Linked DNA regions of Caenorhabditis elegans. The protein of the gene in region 2 interacts with the protein of the main gene of each other region in a pairwise test. Each region holds a gene or a part of one and is shown on either strand. Other genes may lie near its edges.

What was found.
Region 1: the proteins of taf-5 (region 2) and nhr-4 interact in a two-hybrid assay, tested with the Caenorhabditis elegans proteins (one large-scale study listed by BioGRID).

What each region holds. Positions count from the first base shown.
Region 1 is NC_003282.8:9,877,107-9,883,121, reverse strand, and holds nhr-4 (Nuclear hormone receptor family member nhr-4), read right to left. Parts: upstream 3,794-6,015; 5' UTR 3,789-3,793; coding exon 3,704-3,788; intron 3,491-3,703; coding exon 3,346-3,490; intron 3,300-3,345; coding exon 3,175-3,299; intron 3,018-3,174; coding exon 2,860-3,017; intron 2,759-2,859; coding exon 2,510-2,758; intron 2,461-2,509; coding exon 2,159-2,460; intron 2,005-2,158; coding exon 1,880-2,004; intron 1,821-1,879; coding exon 1,663-1,820; intron 1,303-1,662; coding exon 1,171-1,302; 3' UTR 970-1,170; downstream 1-969. Other genes in the region: prp-18 (Pre-mRNA-splicing factor 18), read left to right, coding at 599-785, 835-921. UniProt on the Caenorhabditis elegans protein: Orphan nuclear receptor.
Region 2 is NC_003279.8:7,847,985-7,854,890, reverse strand, and holds taf-5 (Transcription initiation factor TFIID subunit 5), read right to left. Parts: upstream 5,079-6,906; 5' UTR 5,067-5,078; coding exon 4,834-5,066; intron 4,365-4,833; coding exon 3,985-4,364; intron 3,935-3,984; coding exon 3,744-3,934; intron 3,127-3,743; coding exon 2,611-3,126; intron 2,437-2,610; coding exon 2,062-2,436; intron 2,015-2,061; coding exon 1,878-2,014; intron 1,508-1,877; coding exon 1,393-1,507; 3' UTR 1,255-1,392; downstream 1-1,254. Other genes in the region: apb-3 (AP-3 complex subunit beta), read right to left, coding at 1-28, 111-821, 872-950, 1,065-1,141; F30F8.5 (MATH domain-containing protein), read left to right, coding at 6,038-6,226, 6,320-6,829. UniProt on the Caenorhabditis elegans protein: The TFIID basal transcription factor complex plays a major role in the initiation of RNA polymerase II (Pol II)-dependent transcription.

The DNA.
Region 1 (6,015 bases), on a different chromosome or scaffold from region 2:
CTTAAAAAATAAACTAATTTTATTCAAAATGCGAAAATTATCTTGTAATTGGAAATTTCCGGGGTTTTCAAATGTAGCTGAGCAAAAAAAAAACTAATTTAAATATGGAGTTTTAAAATGGCTCCAAATTTGATTCCGTGCCAATTAAGCATTTTATTATCATGAAAATTCCAGAGTTGGATTTCTGTCCAATTGTGATGTGAAAATAAGCGGATCTGCGAATTTTGAGAAAATAAAATATTCAATTGACACGAAAAAACCATTTTTCAAAAAAAAAAAACTTACACGAAAAGAGAAAACTCGGTAAATTGGCATGAAATTTGATGGAAAGAACTCGTAAAAATTTAATAGGTACATAGGTATTCAAAATTAGAGACATTTAAAAAATTTTTTTCGAAATTCCGCGTTTGAATAATAAAAGTATAATCATATATTTAAAACATTTATTTTTTCACTAAAACCTTTCTCTGTTTATCGAATTTTTGAGATTTTCAGAAATTCAAATACTATACCAAAAAAAAATCAAAAATTAAACTGCAATGTGTATGAAAAAATTCTTAAATTTTCTTTATTTTCGGTTGTTTAATATATATTTCAGATTGCTAGTAATTGATAGAAATTATTTGGAAGCAAATAATGCCTATATGGAAATGGCCATCGGAAATGCACCTTGGCCAGTTGGAGTAACTCGTTCTGGTATTCATCAACGTCCTGGATCTGCAAAATCATATGTCAGTAATATTGCTCACGTACTGAATGATGAAACTCAGAGAAAGTACATTCAGGTTAGAATTTCCATATTCTTTTGAAAATCTCAACTTTTAAACATTATAGGCGTTCAAACGACTGATGACCAAAATGCAAGAATATTTTCCAACGGATCCATCGAAAAGTGTCGAATTTGTTAAAAAGGCTGTTTGAATTCTCATTATTTATCTTGTTCAATTGTTGTTTAATTATTTATAAGTTAAAAAAAAGGAATTTATTTTCTTTTGCAATACACAACGATTATATACATATTTATCTATGGTACAGGATATCACAGCGTCAAAATGTTCAATAAGATATATACGGATGTTTCAAGAAATAATCCATTCAAATAATGAAACAGTCAAGTTCTGATATGAAACGAGATCAAAGAGGTAGAATCCAAAAACCGAAATTAACACATTAACCCATTGGAGCTGGAGGAGAATGTTGAGGTGGAGTCGTCTTATGAGTTGCTTGGATTAGTTCGTCAAATTCAATTATATTGAAAAGTGACGTCACATGAACTCCTTCATTCATTAAATGTGTCAAACTCTGAAAATTCAAAATATTATGAGTCATGCGACAAAAAAGGTCTCGACACGTTTTTTTTGTAAAATACAAATGGGTGTGCGTCTTTAAAGAGTACTGTAATTTGAAATTTTCGTTGATGTGGATTATTTCCGATTTTTCATAGTTTTCGGTTAAGAAGATTTTTATTTTGGCATTTTTTAACATTAAAAAAATTGTGTAAGAACTATTAAAAACTGAAGAAAATTCTGCAGCGACGGAAGTTTGAAATTACAGTACTCTTTAAAGGCGTACACCTATTTCTATTAAACAAAATATTGTCGCGTCGAGACCCGGTGCCGTAATTTGGCAAAAAATCGAATAATATGTGTTCTAAAAACATACCGTAATTGCGGAAAGCATAATCATAAATTTCGCGATTCGAAGAGTTGCCTGAGCTGATGTGGTACATTTATTTGCACGCCCATAATTATATAAAGCTGATAAATATTTTTCACGAGCCGCCGAAACGATTTGCCGTCCAGCAGCACTTAGTCCGGATTCTGAAATATTGTTTTCATTGAAATAATGAATTTACAAAAAGTATTCTACAGTAACCTACCACTCGAAAAGAACATGATACATTTGATAAGTACCATTTCAGCATCATCCATTTGGAAATTATGCATTGGATAAATGACATAGTTCAGATAACGAGGCATGCATTCTTTGTAGAATTCCGTGATACTGGAAATACAGTAGATAAAATGCCGAGTACGGAAAATAAAACAAAAATGAAAAAGGAATATTGTCAATTCCAATTAAAATAAAGGATATACTCCGTTCATATTTTGGTTTTTTTAAAGATTTTTTTCTAGATTCTCGAATCAGTTTTACTTACCTTGGATGACCTCCTTCAGGAAGATGGGCGGCTCCATTTGCAAAACAAATTCCATTGCAACCACTCTTGTATGAGTAGTAAGCATGAACAAGCCATCCATGAAGTATAATCTTTTTCTTTGCCAAAACAATCTGATCTTCAGGAGACAATGCCTTGAATTCATCCATTGCATGACACCAATCAGAATAATAAGTGAAATGACGACGCCATCCGTCAATAAGATCTTCTGGAGTTAATACTCGAGTATTCGAGAATCGCATTGGATAACGGTTACATACAAGATGAGGTTGACGGAATACGACCTAAAATTCCTAGTTTGGATCAGACACTCTAAATCTTTATAAAACAAACCTCAAATGGCAAAGTGATTGGAGTTTTTGTTGCATTAATTGAATTATCAACAGCCACCGGACAATTATAAAATACTTTTTGCTCAATGTCAAGAACTGCAGAATGAATTGAAAAGTCCATAGGAACAGGCAAATCGGATGGAGGTGTTGAGATTCTTTCAATTTTAAGAGGCAATAATCCTGGAGGGGTTGGGTTTTGTTGCATGTTTTCAAAATCAAAATCATCGTTTATTTCAAGTTTTCCATCAGTCTGAAAATTTGAAAGTTTGAAAAAATTAGAAAATTAGAATTGAAACGATTACTCAATTTTTTTATAGTTTTCTAGAAACTCTAAATGTCAAAAATCGTTACCTGAGTCGTTTTTTCTACGGTTTCCGGTCTCAGTCTCTTTCGTTTAATCTGTCCATTAGAAATTGTCAATTCTTTGCATAAAGAAGACTGAGTTGGAGATGACATTGGTCCACCCATCCCTCCATTTTTAGCATTACGATCACGTTCATTTTGTACAGCTGTAAAAATAGACGATATTGGGATTGTGAGTTTCCAAGTTGTTAATCAGAACTTTTGTATGTACAACCTTAACGTCTCCGAAAATACGAGGATAAATGAAAAGAGAAAACACAGGGCTCCGGGTTGAATGTGAAGTTATTAAAAATTAAAACTTACAATCCGGATTCATTCCAACTTCAAAACATTTCTTCAATCGACAAGATCTACAGACATTTCGATGTTCCTTTACAACCGGGCAATCTCCTCCAAAACGACAAGAATATTGCCTCCTTGACCACACACTGAAACAGTAAATTTTAAAATTAAATTTGTTCGATTCATTAATACCTTCGTCTGAAAAAACCTTTACACCCATTACAAGCATTAATCCCATAATGTTTTCCGAACGCCACGTCACCACAAACATCACAAATCAAGCGACCCCCGTTTGAGGTTTCTGGCAGACCGTTGGACGTTGATGGAGAAGTGTCAGCTGAAAATGTTCAAGGTTTGAAATTTTTAAACTTGATTTAAATTTGTGACGATTACTGTAGCCAATTTTTTTTATTTTGAAAGAAGTCTGTCAACATCTCAGTTCAATATACAAAAATAAGCAACAATAATTTTTCAGTTGGTGATTTTTTAATAAAACCAAAGTCAGTTGAGATGTGAACTATCAAAAGTTGGTAAGGTGTTCAGCGCTTACCTCCATCATATTTGTAGTCGTCTATTTGTTCCAATTTAAAGAATGCGTCAAATCTCGGATCCACTAGCATCCCTCGTTCATTCATTTACACTGAAATCAAAAATATGTTTTGCTTACTTCAAAAGTTTTAGACAAAATTGGAACAGACATATAAAAATTGTGAAGAAACTAGTGATGTGAAATAAAAGAATAATTTTGATCTTAATTTATATGAAGCACGTGACAAAATGGTTTCTTCAAAATGAAGAAAAAATTAAAGCTATGTAGGTTGTAGTCGCACCCGTTTTGAGTTGTCTCTCTCCCAACAAGTAATCTTACAAAACGAGCCGCCCGTTTCCATGGCGAATTCCTCGGAGGCACGGGGGCTCATTTGTGAGGTGATATTGACGTAGATTGCTCAAAGAAAAGAGGTGACAACTATCATATAATGATGAAGATTTGGATATAGAAAAAGTGAGAATGACTAGACTTTATGTTACGGAGAAGTGAGTTCTGACCGAGTATGAAACTTTGGTGACTCATTAAAAAAACGACTGAACAGCGTGGAAATGAACAAAGAATGGAGTGGGTGAAAAGTTTAAACAAACATGTCAAATCTTTCCAAAATGGATAAAATAGTGATAGAATCGGTGAAGAAAAGAGAAGAAATAAGAAGAAGACGAGGATGAGGATGAGACTGTAGTGAGAAAATGTGATGAATTGATGAAAAAAGCGTGACATAGTGTAGTTCCAATGCGATTTTGATTTAGATCAGTGATTTTCAAGTACTACCTTTCTAAAAAAGAGTTAGAAAAATGATTGTTAAAGTTTTATTTTGGAAGAGTTCATATGTCTCCAAGGCTCTAGTTGTATTCCAAACAATCAAAAATTCCGTATTACCTCTACTAATATTGCACCCGACTACTGATTGGTTATATCTCGGTGCATTTTGAAGATTTCCAAAAATTAATTAACTACAAATCGATAGAAAAAGAACTTTAAAATATTTTGTCAATAGACAACTTAAAAATTTGAACCCACGACAACTGAGATACAAACTTTAAAAATAGAACCCATACTAATAGTAAGAGAGAAAATGCGGTAGGTGGTGGTACTAGAAACAAAAATGATTTTTTTCCAATAGATAATCCCCGAAAAATGCTTTTTGTTACCTTTTTAGGTACAAAGGTCTTTGAGGACGTAGAATAGGTTTTCTCATACAATTCAATTCCCTTACTACTATATTCCTCCACAATGACCGTTCATTATTTGATTTTCTTTGGTTTTATCAAAAAGTGATTCATTAGAGAAACATAGGTTGAACCGTTTTTCTAAGGCTAATTAGACAATCGTGATAAAAATGATGGCGCTAGAAAAATCGGAACTATAAGGTATGTTCAATCATTTTATATGGATTATTTTTAAAACCTAAACTATAGAATTAAACTGTATTTTGACCATAGTCCAAATAGTTTGTATCGGTAGCCTGAAGCACGAGAAAAAATGTCGTATTTGGTCTTAATTTTGACCACATCGAGGCACCCAAAACAGATACAATACGCACCTTTCTCACACCTAATATATTAAAATTGTTACGGCGAGACGTGAACGTGTTCGCACTACTTGGCGATAACAACTCGACAATAAGAAGCACGTGAACTCTCGAACTCGCTTATTATTATTTCACGTATTATCCACATGTACATTCCTTGATCGAATCTATCATATTCGATCATTCCTCACTATTCCTCACTATTCTATCATACTCTTCTGCTTTCTAATAAAGCTTCTTCTATTATTAATACAATTGAATATATAACATTGGCGATCAGGATCTTTCGGGCTCACTGCACCACTGGCTTCATGCACATGTCTACTTAGAAGAAAAGACCTCTGAGGTATTGTTTTGATCTACACATGTCTACTGGGAAGAAAAGACCTCTGAGGTGGATCAGGTCAGCTTTGGGAAGAGGCACCTGCCGTGCTCTCTGCAGTTGCAGTCAAGGTGGACAGGAGCGGCTTCTGGATTGAAGTCGAAAAGAAGAAGGAATCATTGCTCAACTCTTTTGAAGATGCGAGTGAAGGCCACCTATGCGTTTCAAATGCTCAGTCATTGGACGATTGCACAAATTGTTATTGGTCATAACATGATCCACAACCAGGAACTGGGATACAACAGGTTGATGGTGGAACAGGCGGAATCAGTGTGGATGATTCAAGGTTGGGTCTAATATTCAGGCAGCAACGTTTTTTAGTCTGTTGGTGAAGGTTGGATAGACATCAAAAATATTTCGATTGGTACGGGAAGTGTGGCTAACTTGGAACCCGCAATT
Region 2 (6,906 bases):
GTAGAAGTCGGACAAGTGCACGGGCGATCTGGAAATAAGAGTTTTTATTTTTACTTTACTAACTTTTCAGTTGAAATTTCTGAAGCCATATTTTTTTCCGCTTGACTTACCTGAGAGAGTTGAGCTTTCGGCGCAACATGATAAAATAATTGTACGACTGCCATGACAACTGAACAATTTCTTGATTGAAGTAGAGGACGAGCTGAGTTGAGAAGAAGTACAACATCCGTATCGGGTGGTCCTCTATCTGGATCCGCCAATTCATGTCTTGCATATCTAGTCAACATGTTGATCATCACAATTTGACCCCATTCGTCGACATCTGCCAAACCACGACATAATGCTCTGAAGTGTTTATGAAGAAGATCGAGTCGGTGTGGACAGATCTCATCAAATGCGTAAACAGCACTACCGAGTACTAAACTTCTTCGATCAGCGAGAAGAAAATCTATGCAATCGACAAGCTGAGGTTCGAGTTCAGGTTCCAGTGAGTATAGTTTTGGTATGGCATGTGCAGCAACTTTCCTCACGTATGGACTCATATCACGTACTGCATCTTTGATGGCTAAAAGCATGATTGGTGCGACCATCGGAACACGGATTGATGTTAAAACTCGGAGAGCACTTCCACGAATCAGTTGATTCGGATCTTTGAGAGCCCGTTGGAAAGTTGATATCGAGAGAAGTGCAAGATCTTGTTGTTCTTCGGCATATCGTACAAGATAAACAAATACCAACTTTTTCAGCTCCACATTTTTTGCTGCTACGTTCTTCACAACTGCAGCAAATAGTTCACTGACATCTTTTCCTTTCGCTATCAGCTGAAATTTCAAGTTTAGATAATTATAATTTATTGGAAATAAAATCTCACGTTAATTATTCGTTTCATTGCATCAACTTTTAGGTTATCTTTATTACTATCCAGCATGGCTTTTAGGTCAGCGAATCGTCTGAAAGTAGATATATTCGAAAAATGTTACGTACAGTTATACCTAAAATGTAACTGTTGAAATTTTTTAAAAAATAAGTATTTTTATTAGTCTTAAGTTAACAAAAAAACCTACGTCCTATTATCCAAGATGACTCCGCCCTCAGCAATTTCCATTTCAGGGCTGGTCAACCCTTCGACGAACGACGTCATCTGAAAATAAAATAACCTTATTTTTAAAAAAGAGAAAAAAATGTAATAAAATATTTGCAGTGTCGGAATGAACACATAATTCCAAAATAAAGCCAAAGGGATTTTAAAATAAATTTAAAATTTGTTAAAAGGTTTTATTCCACCAGTGAAAAAGAGATTTAATATGAATGAGAGGATCACGTTAAAGACCAGATTTTGAGATAATGTATTTTAAAGATAAAATGTTCAAATAATAGCAGGCAAGATGACAGTTATTGCCCGAAGCAACCAAATCCAAGAAGAAGATTTCGACGAGTGAAATGGAGTCCGATTACTGCAGTTTCTTTTGTTGCATATGATCCTATATTGAAACCGTCCAGATTCACTCTGAAATTTTGTAAAAATTGATTGAAAAAAGCTTGTAGGAGTTTTCGAGAAACTATATATTATGAGGACTTAGAAAAGACATTCTGAAGTGGAAACGCGCTCCACTGCCGAATAAATACGCCCCGCCCCCAAGCCATAGGTCTCATTAGGTATTTGGCGACAAAACCGTAAATTCGAAAGTTTTTAGTATTGCCGATTTCTCCGATCTTCAAGCATTTGTCCTGTTTTTAAGTGGTTTAAAAAAATGTTATGGCTAATTTGATGAATAAAATTTATACTTTCTTCTTTCTCGTAAGGGGATTTTTCTGCGTTTTCATAATATTTGTACCTGTATATTTCTCCAAGTATTTTGTTCCTAATTAAAACTTACTTTGGCTCAATGTAGGAATCATTTTGTCCAGCGGCGAGAACTGTTCCAATAAGAGTATCAAGTGAATATAATTGAATACTTGAATTTCCATGGGATACCGCAAATACACCACCATCACGAGAGAATGTAATTGAACCCTGAAATGAACTAGTAATATGATATTATCATTTTTATATTTCACTACCTTCGTTCCAGCTTGTTCCGTAATTTCAGCTGCAACTAATCTCTGGTATGCCAAATCCCAAATCATCAGATTTCCAATAGCATCTAACGAGACGATATACCGACCACATGGGGAGAACTTGACAGCGATAATCGAAGCTTTATGACCACTAAAAATGCGAACTCGAGTACCAGAACAAACATCCCATACTCGAACATATCTATCATCTGATCCTCCAGCAATATAATTACAATTTGGATGATAATCAATACATCCAACGTCTCCATATGGATCAGCGAATATTCTAAGTGGATGCATTCGATCTGTCGACCACATTGCAGCTGTTTTATCGGCACTTGCTGTAGCGAAATAGTATCCACGACTACAGAATTGAGCCTGTAATAGTTTTCAGATTAGATAATGTAGAACGTTGCGCTGAAACTTTATGAGACAGTTTTTTTATTAGTTAAATTCGATAATTTCGGATAATGATCTATTATTTGAAATAAGATTACCAACGACACTAAATATCTCAGTTAAAATGCTAGTTAAAATTATATAAATACAAACCTGCCAAACTACTGCTGGTGTTCTATAAATAACAGCATTCCTCTGAGTCTCCATACTCCAAAGTCGAACTGTTCGATCTCCGGCAGATGATATAAGAAGTCGTCGATCCGGTGAAAAATTGACAGAAAACACGGGACCACCGTGGCCTGTATACCTCACACTTGTCGTTGATCCTTGTAAATCAAACATTTGTGATTGCACGTTATCCGCAGTTTCAATATCGATTTTATCAAGAAATTCCATATCACGAAGCTTCTTCATCTTATTCATCGGATCCATTGCATTCATAACAATTGAAGAATCAGATAAACCCATTGCAATAAGACTTGAATCATCCGTAAAATCACATGAAGCCACTCCAATTGGTGCATTTACTGTTGTGTACATACAAATGGAAACGGGTGATTCAGCTGAAATGATGGCCATTTTTCCGACGTCTCGAAGCCAATTTCGTCGTTCCTCTCGAAGATGTTCGCTGATTGGTGGAAGAGGAATTCGGTCAGCTTGTGGGCAATGCTGGAAATAACAAGATATATACAAAGAACTATGAAAATTACAGAACAAAGGGAGAGGGACTCAAAAAACACACTAAAAAATTTTAATCGTCACAGCTACACCCTCAACCATTTAAATTTTGACTGTATTTTTCAGTGTATTTTTGCATTATTTTCAGGCCATTAGAGTTGCTCCAAAAGATACTTTTGAATATTTTTGAAGACTTCAAAAGAGTTTAGGTGTAGCCAAACATTATTTTTGGAAATTTATTCAGAAAAAAATCAACTGTTTTAAAATTAGATTTTTCAACATAACATGCCGATTAAAATGTTACAGCGATATGTTATCAGCAAAGGTGTTCATTTTTCGATTTTTCACAAAAAACAATAACGAAAATATTACGTTTTTCGGTTTTTGGGAAATCGAAAAATCTAATGATTTTGTTTTTGATTTTTTGAAAATTAGCTTAAAATATTGACAATTTTTTTCTCTTTTTTAGAAAACAATTATATATGTTCTTATGTTTTTTTTCATTAACATAAACAAAATTTGATAAACATTTTTAAAATTTCAGGGTAAGATGAAAATCTTTCCTTGTCAGTACAAAAAAATTCAAAAAAATTGTTTAAAAATCTTACCGTCTGCATTTTCTTTCCCATATCTTTCCAATCTTTTCCTTTTGTCTTCCGTTTTTCAATATTCTGCATCAATTCGTCTTTTAACACCGAAAACATCATTTTATGTCTTTTATCACTTTTCGAAGTTACTCCAAGAATTCCACCCATTTGGGTTTCTATTGTCGTTCGATTTGTGGATACTTCGTCAGCATCTTTAACGGATATTATTATATTTTTTTTGTATATAAAAATGAATACTTACTTTCAATACAAATATGTTTTGCAATTATATTCTTAACACCAATCACTCTCGTTTGAATTGATTCAAGATGTTTCAGTGTTGGCCTCGAAAGTCGAACAAGAAATTTATTTTCTCGTAAAATGTGAACATGTTCATTGGCTCGTAACGTCATTGCATCTTCGATTAGTGATAATTGATATACAAATTCCGAGAAACATTCAGGAATGAAAATCTTGAATCGATTGAAGAATATACGGGCAGTTGCGGCATGCTTTTCAATTAAAGCTATATAGCTGTGTGCAAATATAGGAAATAAAAGTTGACTGAATTCCGCTTGAACAACATCTGTACAATCGTTTGCGTGCTGGACAAATGTGTCGAATTCAACGGATATCGCTTCTCTGAAACTTTTGGTTTTTAAGACATTGGGCTTTGAAAAATTCAAATTTTGTCTATTTTGCTATTAAAAAAAATTATTTCTAAGATGAAGTGGCGAAATTTGAGTAGATTCATTAGACTTAAAATGATACCGAAAACCGAATGTATTATTAATACGTCTTGTAAATTTCCCAAATTTATTTAAATACCGGTTTTGAGTTTAGGGGAAAAGTCTATATTCGGCAGAAAATTACAAAATTGATTTTTTCGGTAAAAGTGATCTTTTCAGTCGATGGATGCACAACATTTGGAAAAAATTTTATTTTGAAATTACTGTGTGCACATCTACTGAAAAAGCATCTTAATCAACTGGTTAGCTTTTTTTTGAGAAATTTAAAACAATTTTGTGGGGTCATTTTGAGTCTAGCAATGCTCCAACCTTTTAAAATATTAATTTCTAGATACATTTTTAAATTGAAAAAAAAAACTTACTCTGGAGGTAATCCATTAGATCCTTCAACTCTAAGTACTGGTCCAGCTTCTCGAGTCAAAAGCTCTTCAGTTTCTGTTAAACCATTTCGTCGTAAGTATCCAATAATCATTTGAAGTGATTCATTGTTCATTGGCCGAGAAAGCAAATTATCCTCCATTGCTGAATTGTTGTGCGTGTTTTGAAACATTTGTGGAGAACTTATCGAATGACTACTCGAATTCTCGCTATCCATCAAGTTCATTCTCTGGAAAATATATTATTATGAGAAAATACTGTCAAAATATCAAATTTGATATATTTTTTTGAATTTAAACCGACATTTGTTAGAAAAATAATTGAGTTCAAAATGGTGTTTTTTTTTTCAAATATGTGGCCAATTGCAGAATTTATAAGTAGAATAAAAGAGCGAAGAAGAATTAATTCAAACGTCACTACGAACTTGTTGCCGACATGGTGCAGCAGAGCGAGATTGCAACTAACCTACGTAGGCATGCCTACCTTCGGAATTTCTGTCAGACCTTTTTGTAGGAGTTAAAAGTTAATTATCTATGAAAAAAAAACGGTGTTTGGGTCCTGTACTCCAAAAGAACTCTACTCAGTTTCTTTAAATGAAGGTACCCAATCTTAAATAATTATGATATCTCCCTTGATATCACTTTGGCAACTAACTAAGAACACTAAATATACAGTAAAATGTTATCGCTTGTAGTTTGTAGTGTAAATTTAACATTTTCATTCCAACTGATTTCAATACAACGATTAATAAATATTCGAATGTATTCAATTGTGCAATCAACAATATTTTGTTTGCTATCTTATCATTTCTATGTATCTGATAACGGAGTCGATTGCTACAGTGATAACTTTCTAGAATGATGAAAAAACGTAAAGTAAAACTAGGGAAATAGTTAATTAGAAATACTTACCCATTTTGAATTCAGCCGTTTTAATTTTTAATATCTAATGCAACGAAAATACGAATTGTTGTCCTAGAATGACGATTTCACACACACACAAACGTTGTCGAATGCATATAAAATTCAGAGGGACGCCGAGAAGCAGTTGAAGCCCAAGCGAGACGCAGAGGCGAACACGCTCCGTGTAAGGATCGATAGACTGGAGAGACAGATGCACACAGAAAATGAATGGGGGAGTGGAAGACAGAGAAGAAGAAGACGAGCATTGCTTGTGTTTCTACACATTATGGACACTACTACAACCTCGTCTTTAAAGAGTGCTGAGAAAAAGGACACTGATGCGACGCCAAGAGCCCATAGTCCTGAAATTGATGTTGAAGTGATCAAATCTGATTGCTCTACGCCGGAGAAACAGAATGGAGCAGTTGGAAATGAGCAGCAGATGAATAATTCAACTTCTACAAGGAGAACTGATGTAGGTTTTTTTTTAATAGAAAATGTTTTGTCGATACTGAAAAATTGAAGCTTTGCGTCTAGAAACCTAGAAAGCTAGATTCTTGAATTTCAGAGCAACAAAAACCTGTCACCACCTCCTCAACGTCTTCGTACATCTAGTAGTACATCTGACGGAACTGAAAATCTAATTTCCTCTCTATCATCTTGGGATTGGGTTACCATAGATGGTCTGAAGCTTCCCGCAGTGACACGTAATAAAGAACGTTATGTGGCTGTCCATATGGTCCAGCTGAAACTACTGAGCAAGTTCCCATCGGATATTCCACGTGACATCACACGAAAATTCACGATGGGATCTCACAAAATGACAGTAACAGAAGCATGGACATTCAATACAATTAACGCTGTCATTAGAAAGTTTGATCTTGGTTGTCAGTTATTTACGGCAAATGATGAACTTGTCAAACTGAATGATGTTCAAATGTTCTATTGGAATGTAAAGCTTTTCAATTTGAAACGTGTCAATGGGCAATATGAGACGGCTATTTCGTCAGCAGAGAATAATGTTCAACTACTGGCAACAGCGATGCAACTGAAGAAACAAGTGGACAGTGATATTCAGGTAATTTTTAAATGAAGAGTAGTTTTTTTCTTGAAATTTGCACTTCAAATCAGCAAAAGACCGAGTTCAGGTCTAAT